5 linked regions of the Callithrix jacchus genome follow. The protein of the gene in region 4 purifies or fractionates together with the protein of the main gene of each other region. This does not show direct contact. Links are inferred from orthologs where the notes say so. Each region holds a gene or a part of one and is shown on either strand. Other genes may lie near its edges. The genes, in order: MAP3K8, RELA, TNFAIP3, TNIP2 and TANK.

What was found.
Region 1: the proteins of TNIP2 (region 4) and MAP3K8 purify together in Homo sapiens (affinity purification with mass spectrometry; 3 studies listed by BioGRID and IntAct, with this or other methods). This does not show direct contact. The link is inferred for Callithrix jacchus from reciprocal best matches to the Homo sapiens genes TNIP2 and MAP3K8.
Region 2: the proteins of TNIP2 (region 4) and RELA purify together in Homo sapiens (affinity purification with mass spectrometry; 4 studies listed by BioGRID and IntAct, with this or other methods). This does not show direct contact. The link is inferred for Callithrix jacchus from reciprocal best matches to the Homo sapiens genes TNIP2 and RELA.
Region 3: the proteins of TNIP2 (region 4) and TNFAIP3 purify together in Homo sapiens (affinity purification with western blotting; 5 studies listed by BioGRID and IntAct, with this or other methods). This does not show direct contact. The link is inferred for Callithrix jacchus from reciprocal best matches to the Homo sapiens genes TNIP2 and TNFAIP3.
Region 5: the proteins of TNIP2 (region 4) and TANK purify together in Homo sapiens (affinity purification with mass spectrometry; 3 studies listed by BioGRID and IntAct, with this or other methods). This does not show direct contact. The link is inferred for Callithrix jacchus from reciprocal best matches to the Homo sapiens genes TNIP2 and TANK.

Annotation. Positions count from the first base shown.
Region 1 is NC_133508.1:30,400,003-30,402,687, forward strand, and holds the end of MAP3K8 (mitogen-activated protein kinase kinase kinase 8), read left to right. Parts: intron 1-1,067; coding exon 1,068-1,198; 3' UTR 1,199-2,183; downstream 2,184-2,685.
Region 2 is NC_133511.1:122,752,132-122,756,273, reverse strand, and holds the start of RELA (transcription factor p65), read left to right. Parts: upstream 1-1,333; 5' UTR 1,334-1,419; coding exon of another isoform or gene 1,420-1,426; 5' UTR 1,427-1,521; coding exon 1,522-1,558; intron 1,559-2,034; coding exon 2,035-2,061; intron 2,062-2,151; coding exon 2,152-2,303; intron 2,304-2,403; coding exon 2,404-2,552; intron 2,553-4,083; coding exon 4,084-4,142. UniProt on the Homo sapiens protein: NF-kappa-B is a pleiotropic transcription factor present in almost all cell types and is the endpoint of a series of signal transduction events that are initiated by a vast array of stimuli related to many biological processes such as inflammation, immunity, differentiation, cell growth, tumorigenesis and apoptosis.
Region 3 is NC_133505.1:144,648,650-144,652,167, forward strand, and holds part of TNFAIP3 (tumor necrosis factor alpha-induced protein 3), read left to right. Parts: intron 1-746; exon of another isoform or gene 747-819; intron 820-922; coding exon 923-1,232; intron 1,233-3,518. UniProt on the Homo sapiens protein: Ubiquitin-editing enzyme that contains both ubiquitin ligase and deubiquitinase activities.
Region 4 is NC_133504.1:190,410,917-190,414,434, reverse strand, and holds part of TNIP2 (TNFAIP3-interacting protein 2), read right to left. Parts: exon of another isoform or gene 803-3,518; coding exon 512-802; intron 1-511. UniProt on the Homo sapiens protein: Inhibits NF-kappa-B activation by blocking the interaction of RIPK1 with its downstream effector NEMO/IKBKG.
Region 5 is NC_133507.1:68,599,152-68,602,669, reverse strand, and holds part of TANK (TRAF family member-associated NF-kappa-B activator), read left to right. Parts: intron 1-1,160; coding exon 1,161-1,294; intron 1,295-3,518.

The sequences.
Region 1 (2,685 bases), on a different chromosome or scaffold from region 4:
TGAGATGGCGTTGCTCTGTCACCCAGGTTGGAGTGCAGTGGCATGATCTCAGGTCACTGCAACCTCCACCTCGCAGGTTCAAGCGATTCTGTCGCCTCAGCCTCCTGAGTAGCTGGGATTCTAGGTGCTTGCCACCACATCTGGCTAATTTTTGTATTTTTCGTGGAGACTGGGTTTTACCATGTTGGTCAGGCTGATCTTAAATTTCTGACCTCAGGCAATCCACCCACCTCAGCATCCCAAAGTGTTAGGATTACAGGCATGAGCCACCGCACATCAAGTGAGTTAGGGAAACAGCATAGCATTGCCCTGCATGGATAAAATACTGAGTTTGAAGTCAACTTACATTTCCATCTTCCTCTGCTTAAAATCTTGCCAGCCATGAATTTTTTCCACTTAGGAAAGTCAGTATGCATTCCAGGAGCACTGAATATGCAGGGAGAGGGGTTTCCATTTTTATTAAAAATCTGTGGCGTTCTTAATCCATTTAGGTCCAAACCCAGATGTCAAGCCTGGTATACTTGTTTATATTTCTTTGCTGCTTATCTGACTTTTGTGTATTTGAAGAGGACCATCTGACTATTGGAAAAATATGCCAGGATTTCTAACTAATTTCTTGTCTCCATTGACTCCTGTTTGAACTTTGTGGTCTATGTAATGGTTTTTTTTCTTTTCTTTTTTTTTTTGAGATGGAGTCTTGCTCTGTTGCCCGGGCCAGAGTGCAATGGCACTATCTTGGCTCACTGCCACCTCTCCCTCCTGGGTTCAAGAGATTCTCCTGCCTCAGCCTCCTGAGTAGCTGGAATTACAGGCACCTGCGACCACACCTGGCTAATTTTTATATTTTAGTAGAGAAGGTGTTTCACTATGTTGGCCAGGCTGGTCTTGAACTCATGACCTTGTGATCTGCCCACCTTGGCCTCCCAAAGTGTTGGGATTACAGGCATGAGCCATTGTGCCCAGCTGGTTTTATTAGGCCCCAAAGGATTTATTTCTCTGCAGAAGGAAGTTATTTATTATTTGATATGTTTTCTCATAACTTATTTTTTTAATATTTTCCTTTTCAGATTCTTCATGCACGGGAAGCACCGAGGAGTCTGAGATGCTCAAGCGACAGCGCTCTCTCTACATAGACCTTGGCGCTCTGGCCGGCTACTTCAATCTTGTTCGTGGGCCACCAACTCTTGAATATGGCTGAAGGACGACATGTTTCTCTAAATTAAGACAGCATTTATCTCCTGGAGGCTGGTTCTGCCGCCTCCACACAGGGACCCTGTATAGTGAATTGTACCATTTTTGAAGGAGCAGCGTGACCTCCCGTGACCCACGAATGTACCTCCAAGTGGCCCCTGTGTGTTTGACTCGTGAAGCTATCTGGTGTGCACCAGGCCTCAAGGTTCTCATTTCTCAGGTGATGTTATTCCAAGGAAGGAGTTTGCACGTTCACAGAAGAGTCGTGTCTGCTGACTGTTTCATTCGCTGTGCACTTTGCTCAAAATTCTAAACATGCCAGTCACAGGGATAATAGGGTACCTGAAAATTACTATTCTCGTTTCTTATTTAAGTATGGAATCTTCATTTTACTTGGAATAGTTGTGTTGTGTATATTGATGTATATAACTCTTTGAGCCTTTATTGGTAAATTCTAGTATACATTGAATTCATTATAATTTGGGTGACTAGAACAACTTGAATATTGTAGCAATAAGCTGGACTAGTGTCTTAAAAATGGCTAAGATGAATTAGAAGCCATCTGAGGGCAGGCCACTAGTGACAGTTTCTTTTATGTTCCTATGGAAACATTGTGTACTGTACATGCTATGCTTAAGACATTCAAAACACGTTGTTCTGAATGTGGATAAAACTGTGTAAACCACATTATTTTGGTACATCCCAAAGGATGAGAATGTGACCTTTAAGAAAAATGAAAACTTTTGTGAATTATTGATGATGCTCCTTTTGTAATTCTTCTGACTCAATTTTCTTTTAAGCATTTGTACATTAAAATAGCATACTGTGTATGTTTTATATCAAATGCCTTCATGAATCTCTCATATATATTTGTAACATTGTAAAGTATGCAAGTAGTTTTACTTAAAGTATGTTTTTATATTATGCAAATAAAACCCTTTTGTCCAATGTGATTGGTCAAATCAACTGAATAAATTCAGTATTTTGCCTTAGTTATTGTGAAGACTATGATTCTCACCTGGGACTGAGGACAGCCTATAGGAGCTGGGATATAGGTGAGAGGAAAATATGTATCATAAGAAGGCAACAAATACCAGGAGCTTTGCAAATTGTGTTAATACACTCCTTTTCTTTAAAAAAAAAAAAATATATATATATATATTTATATATATATATATATATATATTACCCACGATCTCTTGACCTCGTGATTCTCCCACCTCGGCCTCCCAAAGTGCTGGGATTACAGGCATAAGCCACTGCACCCGGCCAATACACTCCTTTTCTATTGTTCTTGTATGAAGCTATTGTCAACTGGAATGGTTTGCATCCCCGTGCTACATCGAGGTAGAAAAAATAATTGTGGCTGTGCCTGTAATCCCAACACTTTAGGAGGCTGAAGTGGGAAAACTGCTTGAGCCCAGGAATTCGAGACCAGTCTGGCCAACATGGTGAAACCCTGTCTCTACAAAAACCAAAAATTAGCCAGGAGTG
Region 2 (4,142 bases), on a different chromosome or scaffold from region 4:
AAAAGTTATAAACATACATGAATTTTAAGAAGAGGATCCATGCAAGATTCAATGATAATTTTATGTCATTAACCAAAGATTTTGATTAATCCATTCTGCCACCTGAAGTCTGCCTCCCCCGCCCCCTAACAAAAGTAAACACTTTTCTAATCAGGGCCAGCCACTGGAGAAACTGAAATGAGTGGGCGGGGTGCTAACTCTATTTTCACTTTTCTCTTCCTGTTTCTTCAGAGCCTGGGAAACAAGTCAGAATTTCCAATCTTTTCCAATTCCCACATGATTTCCTAATTTAAGACGAATTCAGAGAAAAAATAAAGTCTTTCTCCATCTGGAGAAGACTCCGCCCCCTGCAGTGGAGCATCCTCTTTCGGGGAGGAGGTGTGGGGTGGGGGTGCGCCAGCCCCAGCCCCGACACGTACGCGGTTTGGTCTTGGGGGCGATACCGGCACTGTGGGGGTCACATGACAGAATTAGTGGTCAGCCCTAGCTAGAGGTCCAGGGCAAACGCAGGGGTGGGCGGGGGCGTCGTGACTCTGCTGATTCAAGTGTCCCCTGGGGGTCCCGGACCTTCTGAGACAAGCGCCAGGCTGCGGAGACAAGGCTCCGGGGTTTACCCCCGGGCTCCTCCTGCTCCCACGGTCGCTCAGGGTCTAAAATGCAGTTCGGCTGCATCTTAAGCTGGCTCTTTAGCGTGAGAGGGGCGAGCCCTCGGCCAGCTCGCCGGCGGGAGGGCCTCGGTCGTCCCATCCGGGCTGCAGGCTCTGCAGAGCTAGTCTATACTGTCAGGCGAGGAGGCCCGGCCGCTCCCCTTCCCCAGAGCCGCATCTAGATTGGGGTGGCTAGGACATTTTAACGTGCTTCTGAGACAGTCACCACCGAAAGGCGCCTTTAGCGATCAGGAAACCCGCGTAGACTTCAACCACCTGGCCTTTGCGGGCGCAGAAGGCCAGGCTTGGCCTTTCCCTGCGCGGGACGGGTGGCCGCAGCCCAGCAGCCCTGGCTTAGCTCTAGACCCGGCCCAGAGTGACATCACCAACTCCACCGATCGCGGGAAGGGGCCCCGAAATCCCCTAAAAATAAAGTGAGTAATCGACGGACACGCCCTCCAGGTGGGGCCGGGACTCGGAAACTAGCCCAGCAGCCTGCCGCGCCAGCCTCTTCGTCCCCCGCGAGGCGCGCACTTGGCCCCGGCCCCCTGCGGCGGCTGTGCGCGCGGCCTCTTCGTCCTCCGCGCGGCGCGCACTTGCTCTCGGCCCCTGCGCCGGGCCGCCGCGGTGCAGCACGCAGGCGCGGCCGGATTCCTGGCAGTGACGCGACGGCGGGCGCGCGCGGCGCATTTCCGCTTCTGGCGAATGGCTAGGCTGTAGCGCCCGCCGCGGGCCCAGCTGCGACCCCGGCCCCGCCCCCGGGACCCCGGCCATGGACGGTGAGGTCGCCCTCTGACCCCGCGGGGTGGCCGCGCCGGGGCCGCCGGGGCTGTGGCGGGAGCCCCCGCGCCGCTTTCCGCCCCTTCTTGCGCTGATGGGCGCTGCGCAGGGAGCGGCCTGCCTGCTGGATGGTGGCGCGGGGCGGGGCAAGCGGGGAGGGATCTGACTCAGTTTCCCCTCTGGGTGGAGGGGAGGGCCTTAACTCAGTATCCTCCCTGGGTGGGACAGCGGAGGGAGCCTTGACTCAGTTTCCCCCCCACTGTCTATGGGGGCAGCTCTGGCTTCGTTTCCTTGTTAGGGAAGAACGCATCTGATTCAGTTTCCTCTCTGGACGGAGGTGGGGCGTGCCCTCCCCCAGTTTTCCTTATGAAAGGAAAACTAATTCAGTTGCCCTCGGGAGAGGAAGGATTCCTTACCCCGTTTTCTCTCAAGAAGCAGGTGTTTCTGGCTCCTTCTCCCCACCCTTTAGTTTCACCGCCTGTTCTAGGGAACGGGTCCTGACTCCGTTCCCCTGGGAGGGAGCCTGGCTTCTCTTCGTGGGGAGCAGATTCCCCCGGTGAGGATGGGCAGTGGGTGTGTGCTGACCCTGATCTCTCTCCCCTTTCAGAGTTGTTCCCCCTCATCTTCCCGGCAGGTAAGTGGCCCCCGCGGTGGTCGGGGAGGTGCTCCCTGGGGTAGGGCAGCGGGGGCAGCCACCTAATGGGTCTGCGGTGTCCCCTGGCAGAGCCAGCCCAGGCCTCTGGCCCCTATGTGGAGATCATTGAGCAGCCCAAGCAGCGGGGCATGCGCTTCCGCTACAAGTGCGAGGGACGCTCCGCGGGCAGCATCCCTGGCGAGAGGAGCACAGATACCACCAAGACGCACCCCACCATCAAGGTCAGCATTGAGCCGGGGAGTGCGGGGTAGGGACTGCGAGCCCCAGCCCTCTGTTTGGGAGTCAGGTTTGGATGTCTGGGCTTCTCTGTACTTTGGACAGATCAATGGCTACACAGGGCCAGGGACAGTACGCATCTCCCTGGTCACCAAGGACCCTCCTCACCGGCCTCACCCCCATGAGCTTGTAGGAAAAGACTGCCGGGATGGCTTCTACGAGGCTGAGCTCTGCCCGGACCGCTGCATCCACAGGTGAGCTCCCTGCAGTCTAGGAGGCCCAGCCTGAGGGGACAGGATGCGGGCTGTGAGGTAGACGCTACAGTGTTACTCCTTTCTGGACACAGGACAATTTCTCACTCCTTGCTCTGACATAGTTCTGCAAGTAAACTCCCTTTGTTTTAAAATTATCATTTATACCTCTACTCTAGCAGATAGGAGCTCTAGGGGATAGGGATGGGTCCCTAATCACTTCTGAATCCCTGACCCTGTAGCTGGAAGGGGTAGTCCGTCAGAGTCATGTCTCTTGTTTGAGAAAGAAAACCATTGAACCAGTACTCTCCCCGGAGTTGACATTACAGTTGACAGAGACAGACTATAAAAAAAATATACAGGCCAGGCGTAGTGGCTCATGCCTATAATCCTAGCACTTTGGGAGATGAAGGCAGGAAGATCTCTTGAGCGTAGGAGTTCAAGACTAGCTAAGGCAACATAATGAGACCTTATCTCTACAAAAAAATAAATTAGCCAGGTATAGTGTCATGTTCCTATAGTCCCAGCTACTTGGGAGGCTGAGGTGGGAGGACCACCTGAGGTGGGAGGCTGAGGTGGGAGGACCGGCTGAGGTGGGAGGACTACCTGAGGTGGGAGGCTGAGGTGGGAGGACCACCTGAGCCAAGGAGGTCCTTGCTGCAGCAAGCTGTGATCATGTCACAGCATTGAAGTCTGAGTGACAGAGTGACACCCAAGTAAATAGCCTGGCACAGTGGCTCATGCCTGTAATCCCAGCACTTTGCGAGGTTGAGGTTGGCGGATCATCTGAGATCAGGAGTTCGAGACCAGCCTGACCAACATGGTGAAACCCTGGCTCTACTAAATACAAAAACTTAGCCGGGTGTGGTGGTGCACACCTGTAATCCCAGCTACTTGGGAAACTGAGGCAGGAGATTGGCTTGAACCTGGGAGGCGGAGGTTGCAGTGAGCCAAGATTGAGCCATTGCACTCCAGCCTGGGCAACAGAGTGAGACTCTGTCTAAAAATACATAAACAAATAAAATATGAATAAATACACAGATAAGTAAACAAGGTACTGTCAGAGTAATACTTTCAGTGCTGAAAATAAAACAAGGTCATAGGATGAAAGGATAACCTGGGGTCGGGGAGTGAGGGGAGCTAGTGTAATGACTAGATTGGGAGGTCAGGGAAGGCCTCCCTCTGCTACTGCTTGAATGGTGAGGAGGAGGAGAAAAGTAGGAAAAAGAACATTCCAAGCAGACCAAACAAGTGCTAAGACCTTGAAGTGGGAATGAGTGTCTTGTGTTAGAGAAGGGAAAGGAAGCCCCTATGGTGGTAAGCAGATGGCCCAAAGGGAGGCTGGCAGGGGCGGGGGCGCAGAGGTGCTTGTCAGCGGAGGGGAGGGACAGGGTTCGTTGCAGCATAGTGGGAAGCCACTGGAGGGGGTTAGGTATGGAGCGATGATCTGCGGGTGGGCAGGGGAGGAAGGAGCAGGCTGGGCAAGGCAGGAAGGTCCCAGCTCTGCAAGAGACAGGTGAGTGGGGGTGTTCAGTTTCCAGAACCTGGGAATCCAGTGTGTGAAGAAGCGAGATCTGGAGCAGGCTATCAATC
Region 3 (3,518 bases), on a different chromosome or scaffold from region 4:
GTGGTTTTTCATTTTTTGTTTTTGTAGAGACCTAGGTCTCAATATGTTGCCCAGTCTATTCTCAAACTCCTGAGCCCAAGTGATCCTCCCACCTCGACCTCCCAAAGTGCCAGGTTATAGGCATGAGCCACCGTGCCCAGCCTATTATTAGTCTGTTTCTTATTCTGATATGAAGTCTGGTGGGAAGGTTCTGAAGGAATGTTGACTGCTCTTAAAATTGCAGTGCATCTTGCTGGAAGTGGTTTTTTTGTTGTTGATTAGAAAACATTCCGCTTTAACTCTTTATAAACATCAGAATAAACTTTATGAATAAACACTGAAATACTTCTCTTTGGGGCTAAAGAGGAAACACCAACCAGGAGCCTAAATGACAGCATAAAATTGCAAGATTTTTCATAAAATAGTTTACCAGCATAGGGAGGGAGTGATTACTCAAGAGTTTGCCCAAGGGCAGGATTGCTTGGTGGTGGTCTGAAGGGAAGGAGCTATAGACTTGTCGGGGCTACATTGAGCCCTTAACTGGCATCCGGTACTCCCCAAATCCAGCGCTGTTCAGCGTGGTCTCAGAATGAAACAGGAGCTTCAGTTGATTTTGAGGAGCAGTACCTGTTGCTGACAGACAGGGTTGGCTCCCTGACAAACGTTACTGAAAACACAGGTTATTCCCCTCCTCCTCAGTACCCACTCTCTGCCTTCCGTCCCTTATTTAGACTAATCTTTTAAAGTGATGTAACTTAAAACAGCCCAGTGTGAGTTAATCTCTGGGCCAGCTAGTATCCCGGGAGTAGAGGTGCTAAGATCTTTTGCCTACAGATCAGGGTAATGACAAGATCAAACACTGGGGTTTCCTGCAGACAGGTATATAGGAGTCATATCAAAGTCAGGCTAATGGAATGGCTGTTTTTTTTTCTTTCCTTTTCAGGTGCTGGAGAGCACAATGGCCGAACAAGTCCTTCCTCAGGCTTTGTATTTGAGCAACATGCGGAAAGCTGTGAAGATACGGGAGAGAACTCCAGAAGATATTTTTAAACCTACGAATGGGATCATTCATCATTTTAAAACCATGCACCGATACACACTGGAAATGTTCAGAACTTGCCAGTTTTGTCCTCAATTTCGGGAGATCATCCACAAAGCCCTCATCGACAGAAACATCCAGGCTTCCCTGGAAAGCCAGAAGAAACTCAACTGGTGTCGGGAAGTCAGGAAGCTTGTAGCGCTGAAAACGAATGGTAAGACTTGCTCTGTTGTGCTTCTTTTGCCTGGGTGATAGCTTCTGCTTGCTGGGTCCCCATTCATGGAGCTTTAATAGCACAAGCCCAAACTCAAATCTCTTGAGATTTAGTAGACACTTTAGTGTAGAAACTCTATACGGGACATGTGATAAGAGCTGACTTGTTTTGTGAATCTATTTATTAAGGATATTTTCTGATTGTGTATATTGCAGAGCACATTGAGGCTTGGAGAATGCGTTTTTAATACTCCAATTAGGTGATTTGTTTCTAATGCTTGCAAATGTTTAATCATCTGTAAAATACCCTTCACTGGCTCGTAATGGAAATGTTAATAGCCTTAAGTTCAAAAGAAAAGCATGGTGTGAAAACTGGTAGTACGTTTGTTTCCCACTGTCATTAGAAAATGCGTGTGATGTTCTTATGCCTCTCGAATTGGTAGCATTTTATGGGTTAACCAGTGAATGGCTGTTGAAGACATGAGGAATTTCTTTTGTCTCCTCCTCCTCTCTGACCTGGTTCTACTGCCTATGCCCTGCAGTGTGAAATAGATCGATGCTGAGATTTTTAGCATGAGTTTTAGACTTCACCTTCATTATTTTTAGAGGTTCCTAGTCACTGAAATCCTTCCTGCCTGTGCTGTTCTGCCAATGGCCTTTACCAGGAGTAGCTATTTCCTATTCCAAGCTTTACTGCTTTATTTTTTAATCATTTCCCTTGGATAAGAATCTGTGCATCAACAGGAGTGTCTGTTGCATACAGTTTCATGCAGGCACAAAATTCTACTCTATGGATGTGGATAATTATTACAATAAGCAAGTGGACTGTACAAGATCAATTAAATGCTCATAGACTACATAAGACCAGGAATCTCAGATACTTAAATCTGTGACAGTCCCAAACCATCCTAATAAAAGTAAGATGTCCAAGAGCAGAAAATCATTGTTGACAATGATTACGATAAGAACACTGACTTAATTAACTTAATTGGTACATTAACTTTGGCTTTTTTTGACTTGGGTAACTTAGAGTGATTGGTGGATGTGGGTTTTTAAATTTTGATTCTGGGGGGTCTTGTACATTGCTTCAACAGCTTGCCTAGATTTATGAAACACTGATTCTTAGAAACATAGGTAGAAAGAAAACTAGGGATAGCTACTGTCTGCATTATTCTTGGCATTAAATTAAGTGATACATAGAGGTAGGTAATTATGTAAAGTCATCATGGGGTTTATGTGCCTGACAATTTGTGGTTTTAATCCTCTCCCATTTTGTTACTAAAAAGAGATAGAGTAAACTTTGGGGGAGTTGGAAAGAAAGATTCTGCTGAATTAAAAATGTGGTAGGAAGGGGGAAACCTTATTAAGAAAATTAACTGACTTTTTGCCTTGTTTCCTTAAGATAGGAAATGCTCGATTTCCACTAGGAAAAAAAAAGGGACTATAAATAGGAAACACTTATTTTGCAAACATGTCATTGAAATCAACAAGGAGTCACACTACAAATAAAACTACAAAAGCCAGGTGCATTTTGGTAACGTTTTTTGGGAAATCATTTTTAGACTCAGAATCCTTTTGTTTCTTCACTTTCTAGAAAACTCCTTAAGAGTCTAAATGTGGAAGAAAGGATATCGGGAGGGAGGAATACAAATGACTTTTTTTTCTTTGATTTTGATTAGCACCTTTTAAAAAAATAATAATAATCTTTCCGTTGATAGGAGGGTTATTCAAAGGCAATATCTGGGGAGGGGGTGATTCACAAGTTTGCATTTGAGGATATGAGACTGTGGTGAATGAGGAAGGGAGTAGGTGGCATAAAATTGAAACTTCATGTGAAAAATTCCAGCGTCTATTGGCTGCAGCGATTTCACTTGTATAATGAGTAGCCCTATTCCAGCTCACCCTGACCACACCCACTTGGAAAGTCCAGGGTGCACCTCGCAGTTTAAATGTCTACACACCAGAACAAAAAGTACAATAGCTGTTGCTCAATTGCTAGTCAAATAACTTAGCACTGGGGAATTCCAGATGTTACTTAGGGAATTTTATACTGGTGCATCTCAATAAAGAACTGAAAGTAAGCACAAGAAGAAGAAAAAAAGCCTTATCTTTGCTCTAGATTTTGCAAAGGGGAAATTTCAACAGAATGCAATCATTGCTACACGTCTGCCAAGGCACAAGGCTTGGGCGATCTTTTTTGTCCATTTGTTTGAATACTTACTTAGCTAGTTTTTCTAAATGTGTAACTTGAAGGAATACTGGCTGTGGATACATATTTGAGGGTTTT
Region 4 (3,518 bases):
AACGCCAGCTTTGGAGATGGCGGCTCTGGCTGTGCCTGGACCCACGCAGACACGCTGAGCCTGCAGAAGGCGGGTACTCAGTCCTTCCGGGAGTTTTGGGTGTGGAACTTGGAGGCACTCCTGGTCCCCAGCAGTATACCTGGCTGTGCTTCAGTGTCCTCGGATGAGGAGGAGCTGACTGCACTCCCGGGCAGCTCTGCCACCCCCAACTCTTCCTCCTCACCCTCAGCTGAGGCACGTGAAACCCAAGTGCCACCACCCGCCGTGGCGCAGGTCCAGCTACAGGCCTGCTGTGGGGCAGAGGTGGCTGCCTGCTTTCCTATCCCATCTTGCACATTCCATTATTTTAAAAGAAACCCTTGGATGAGCGAGTTTTGCCGTGTCAGCCGAGTCTCGTTACTGAGAACACAGGAGGGCTCTGGGGCGCCTCCGACCCCTGTGATCAGGAGCCTGTGGGCGATGGCTCCAGCGCACAGGCTCTTCACCACAACTCGCTTGCACCGCGGCCTACCTCGTCAGGACTTCTCTCCGCCATGCTCCTCTGTGCATGCTGTCGCTCTTCCAGACACTTGGCCAGATGCTGACACATGTGGGCGGTGGCGGTCAGCGTCCTCCGCAGCTGATGGGTCTCGTTGGCCAAGGAGCGGCACAGAACGTCACTGGCGGCCCGGGCCTGCTCCCCCTCCGCCAGGCTCCTCCGCAGGAGGACGACCTCCTTCTCTCGCTCGTGCTGTGGCTGGCTCAGCAGCTGCTGCATCTCCCTCTCCTTTTCTTCCAGTCGCTCAGTCAGCCTCTCAATTTCCTAAGTGGAGGATTTAAAAGCACAGTTTACTGAATTAAAAGAACCAGTGTCAAGAGCAAATGTTCAGAAAGCAAAAGGAAACCTGGCATGGACGCCCTATCACTAGGCAACAAACACTCATTCACAAGTCAGACACTGGAACTAACAGTTAACTCTGGAGTTTTTTGGCTACAACGTTCTATTCTAAAACTTCATCTTAAAGTCTTTTTTTTTTGAGACCGCCTCATCCCGTTGCCCAGGCTGGAGACCAGTACAACATTCACCTCCCGAGTCCAAGCAGGTCTCCTGCCTCAGCCTCCCGAGTGGCCGGGACTGCAGGCGTGCGCCAACACGCCCGGCTAATTTTTGTATTTTTAGCAGAGATGGGGTTCCACCATGTTGGCCAGGCTAGTCTCGAACTCCTGACCTCAGGTGATCTGCCTGCCTCAGCCTCCCAACATGTTGGGATTACAGGTGTGAGCCACCACACCAGACCTTTTTCTTTTTCTTTTCTTTAAGGCAGGGTCTTAGTGTCACCCAGGCTAGAGTGCAGTAGCACAACTGTGGCTCACTGCAGCCCTGACCTCCCCAGGCTCAAGTGATTCTCCATCCTAACCTGAGCAGCTGGGACTATAGGCCATGTGCCACCGTGCCTGGCTAACTTTGGTATTTTGTAGAGTCAGGGTTTTGCTGTGATGCTCAGGCTGGTCTCGAACTCCTGGGCTCAAGCAATCCGCCCGCCTTGGCTTCCCAATGTGCTGGGATTACAGCCATGAGCCACCATGCCCTGCCAAATTCTATTTTCACAAGCAAGTTCATAATTTTAGATTTCATAACATCAAAATGTTTTTTTGAGATGAGGGTCTCGCTATAGCCCAGGCTGGTCTTAAACTCCTGGGCTCAGGCAATCCTCCCACCTCAGCCTCCTGAATAGCTGGGACTACAGGCTCAAGCCACCATACCCAGTGATCATGAAATTATCAAAGTGGCAATTCCAAGCACTTTTTTGATAGGAAGGGTAGAAACTTTACTGTAGTGGGTACTCCAAAAAGATGCCCACAGTGGAACCCCCAGGATCTGGGAATGGAGCCTTATCTAGAGATAGGGTATCTGCAGGTGTAATTAGCTAAGCTGAAGACAAACCAGACTCGGATGGGACTGGTGTCCTCATTAAAAGATCACATCTGGACAGACGCACAGAGAGAAGAAGGCCATATGACAACGAAGATATGAGTGATTTCCTGTGGATACAGGCCAGGGAACACCAAGGCTTGCCGGCTGCCACAGGAACGTCAGAGGGGCAAGAAAGGGTCCTTCCCCAGCACCTTCAGAGAGCCAGTGCCATGGATTTCGGCTTCTGGCCAACATAACTGTGAAAGATTACATTTCTGTGGCTTGAAGTCCCCCAGTCTGTGGCACTTTCTTACAGCAGCTCTAGGAAATTGACACACCCAACCCTAATTACTTCTTAAAGAATTGAAAGGCTGGAATGCAGTGGCTTACATCTGTAATCCAACACTTTGGGAGGCTAAGGCGGGCAGATCACGAGGCCAGGAGATTGAGACCATCTGGCCAACACAGTGAAACGCTGTTTCTACTAAAAACACAAAAAAATTAGCCGGGCGTGGTGGCGCACGCCTGTAGTCCCAGCTACTCGGTAGGCTGAGGCAGGAGAATCGCTTGATCCCAGGAGGCGGAGGTTGCAGTGAGCCAAGATTGCACCACAGCACTCCAGCCTGGGCCACAGAGTGAGACCCGTCCCAAATAATAATAATAATAAAGAATTCAAATGGTTCTTAGAATGACGTTTCTTTTTTTGAGTCAGGGTCTTGCCCTGTCGCCCAGGCTGGAGTGCAGTGGTGCCATCATGGCTCACTGCAGCCTCCACTGCCCAGGCTCAAGTGAGCCTCTTGCCTCAGCCCCCTAAGTAGCTGGACTCTGAGTGCATGCCACTGTGCCCGACTAATTTTTGTCTTTTTTGTAGAGACAAGGTTTCACCGTGTTGCCCAGGCCGGTCCTGGACTGAGTGATCCGCCTGCCTCAACCTCCCAAAGTACTGGGATTACAGGCATGAACCATCACATCCGACCTGACAATTCTAATACCTGGCCTTAAATTTGTGCTTTTCTATTTCCGAAGAATCTTCCAAAATTAACAGTCTATGAGGGAAGTGAAGCAGGCTCAACTAGTCCATCCCACACGTGAAGAAACAGTTTCAGAAAAGCCAGGGAGGAGCCTAAGCTCTCCTCCAGAAGTGGCAGCAGAAGGGTCCAGCCTCTGTCGCTAGGACTTGAGGTGAGAAGGGACAGACCAGGAACCTAGAACGCTCTCATGACAACAGAACAAAATACTAAGCTATATTACTACAGGAACCCTGATGATTATTTTTCTTGTTTTTATTGATTGATTTTTAAAGACAGGGTGTCTCTTTGACACCGAGGCTGTGCTCTAGCCTGGGTGGCACTGAGACCCTTCTCAGGGATAAAGGACTTCAGGCAAAAGACCCGATTTGTTTTTTTTAAATAGAGACAGGGCCTCACTATGTTGCCCAGGCTGGTCTTGAACTCCTAACCTCAAGCAGTCCTCCTCCTGCCTCAGCAGGAGTCACGGTGCCCACGTAAAATGTGATTTCAGAGCCTCCTTCCTGCAGTGGTCAAATGCAGACAGTAAGAGAAACAAACGATCTGTTCCGTGTCCGTGGCTCCTGTATCCCATGGGCGTGGCGCTCTCTTGCCTC
Region 5 (3,518 bases), on a different chromosome or scaffold from region 4:
ACTATACTATATGGTAGAACTCTAAGTTTATAAAACTTCCTAAAAAGCAATTTGCCAGTAAATAGCAAAAGCTTTTGCAAACATCTGTGCCTCTTGAACCAAAAACTCAAGTCCTAAGACTATATCATAAGAAAAGATTTGTTAAAGGCTCGAAACTATATAGACAGGGATGTGTATCACAGTATAATTTTTAATCATGGAAAGCTAGAAACAAATTTTCAATAGTTAAGTTACAGTGATCTATATGAATAGCTATGTAGCCAAGAAAAGTGATGATAATAGGTATTAACTTGTAAGAATATATTCACAATATATAGCAAAATGAACAAAGCAGGATACATAAATAAGTGTTATTTTCATTTATGCAGAAAAATGTTCTTGTGTGAATTTATATGTTTAGGAAAAGAAGAAATCTGATACAATATATAAATCAAAATGTTAACAGGAATAATTCACAGCTGATAAAAATTTGGGTAGCATTTACTTTTTATTCTTTTTGGCATGTCTGCATTTTCTAATTTTTCTATAACAAGCATGGAGTCATAATACAAATAATTATCTTAAATAAGAAATGCGTACCTGAAAATATGACATAAAAAAGTTGAATTGTTGCTGACAGATGCAGAGAGCATATTTCTAGTTTTCTAAATTTTGTATATTTTACATACTACTGGCTTTCGGAGAGTAGGGGTTTTGTGTGTTTAGTGGGAAAGAAAAAATATAAATGGACAACTTGTCAAAGTAACTATTCTAAAATTCCTACCTTAAAATCTATTCCGTTGCTGGGCGCAGTGGCTCACATCTGTAATCTCAGCACTTTGGGGGGCTGAGGCGGGCAGATGACAAGGTCAAGAGATCGAGACCATCCTGGCCAACATGATGAAACCTTGTCTTTAATAAATACAAAAATTAGCTGGGGGTGGTGACACATGCCTGTAGTCCCAGCTACTCGGGAAGCTGAGGCAGGAGAATTGCTTGAACACGGGAGGCGGAGGTTGCAGTGAGCTGAGATCACACCACTGCACTCCAGCCTGGTGACAGAGTGAGACTCTGTCTCAAAAAAAAAAAAAATGTATTATCTTTATGGTTTTGAGTTTGTGTTATTTTTGCTTTTTTTCAGGTAGTACCAAAAATAAGGCTTTTCTACTAATGTCCACAAGGTTTTTGTCTTACAGATAAGAGTTATGGCTGTATTCCTCTGCTTGAAGACTATGAAACAAGGAAGAATAATTTGACTCTTGATCAGCCACATGATAAAGTGATTTCAGGAATAGCAAGAGAAAAACTACCAAAGGTAGACATTGCTTCTGCAGAAAGCAGCATCCAAATGCTGATGCGTAACATAGCTTCCTCATTTATTTTTCTGAAGTGAGCTACCACTGGAATTCTGAATAGAAATTCCATGTATACAAATATGTGACTTAAATGTTTCTAAATAGAAGAACTATTTCCAAGTAAAAATAAAGGCTAAGGTTTTATATTTTCTATTGACCTTTTTTCTATATCACAAGCATTTCAACAAAGAAAATAATTAACAAATAGGACTGGGCCCAGTGATTCATTCCTGTAATTCAAACACTTTGGGAAGCCAAGGAGGGAGGATCACTTGAGCTCAAAAGTTTGAGGCCAGCCTGGAAAACACAGGGGACCACTGTCTCTACAAGAAATAAAACAATTTGCTAGGCAGGATGGCACATGCCTATAAGTCCCAGCTACTCAGGAGGCTTAGGTGGGAGGATTGCTTGGCCCTAGGAGGTCAATGCTGCTGCAGTGAGCCTTGATCATGACACTGTATTCCAGGTTGGGCAACAGAGTGAGATCCTGTCTCAAAAACAAAAAATGCATGCATATATACGTGTGTGTGTGTAAATATACAATGAAATGGAAGATTAAAATTGGGTAAATAGTAAGACACCAATTAGAAAATAGCTTTCTAGTTTTTTCTTTAATTGTGCTTAGTTTAGACAAAGAAATATCTATTCAACTAGCTTAAGCAAAACTCTCTTGAAGTAATATAGAAAGAAATACTACATATCTGCAAAGAGACATATACAAGGACATTCATGCTACATGGGTTAGAAACAACCTAAGTATCCGCCAATAACAGAATAGTCCATCTTTAGAAACTCTTTAGAAAAATTAAAATATACTAAATATAAATTTGCCTAAATTTCAGTAGCAATGTGGAGTAAAGATGGAAATTACAGAATGATAAAATGGAAATACTTTATGTCGCTCGTTGTTGTTGTTGTTTGTTCTGTTTTTGTTTTTTTGGAGACAAAGTCTCATTCTGTTGCCCAGGCTGGCGTGCAGTGGTGCAATCTCGGCTCACTGCAACCTCCACCTCCCAGGTTCAAGTAATTCTACAGGTGCAGCCTGGCTAATTAGAATACTTTGTGTAGTTTTTAAAACATAACATTAATGTTTGTGAAAACACAAATATGTAATAAAGGTATATAAACCTGGACAGGAAGGTTACACATCTTCTTTAGAAAAACGATCACTTCTAGAACTGGCGAGAAAAGAGACTGGGCTATCTGAGAAAGTACTAATGGGGGCTTCAGTTATATCTGTAACTTTTTTTTTTTAATAGAAGAGAGTTAAGCAAGTATGCAAAATAGTAAACCTTATAAACTTGATAGTATATATATGTATCTTATATTGTTCTCCGTTTTCACATATATTGTTCTCTTGTTTTCACAAGTCATTGAAATTTTGTAAGTTTGAAAAGGATATTTTTAATGAGATGTGTTGGCTTTTGGTGAGATGATACATATTTTAAATAAAATAGCTGGCAAATAAGGTTTCTTAATATCAACAAGACCAATTAAGTCAAGAGTGCTATAGTTATTTCTTTCCTTCTAAATAAAGTAGGAAATTTTAGCTTTGTCAGGGTTATTTAGTTACTGATTGTATAACAAAGACTATCTTATTATTTAACATCAAATTTGAGAAATCCAATTTTGAGAGCTTTTTCTGTAAATAAAAATTTTAGACTAATAAGTTCTCCTGGTGCCCCTTAGTACATATATTTTTATTTGAAACCATTCTTGAAGTCATTCAGTTTTCTTCACCCCCATTCAAATTTTCATTTATCTAAAAATGCTGATAAATACAAGAAACCATGGCATTGAAATAAATTAGGTTTATTTTGCAAAAGGGGAAATTGAGAAACAATGATTCCATTATAAAATTGTTGAATTACTATAAATGCTGACATAAATTTAGTGCTTAAGTAAACAATATGTATAATCTTCCTGTTTCAGTGTCTTCCAAATGCCATTATTTACCATAATTTTAATAATCCAAATTCCTATTCCATTTATAACATTAATTTGAAAGTAATAGAATATCTCCAGTTTAAAGTATGTAGAAGGTAGTTTTTAAAATAAAACCTTGGTTAGAACAACAGGGATGATGTGGAAAGCTCTAAGATACATTAATAGTTTTGTTTATTTTAAATTTGAATAATCTGTCATTTACAAAAGTTTATTGTCAGTCAGTAAGTATCCAAATTA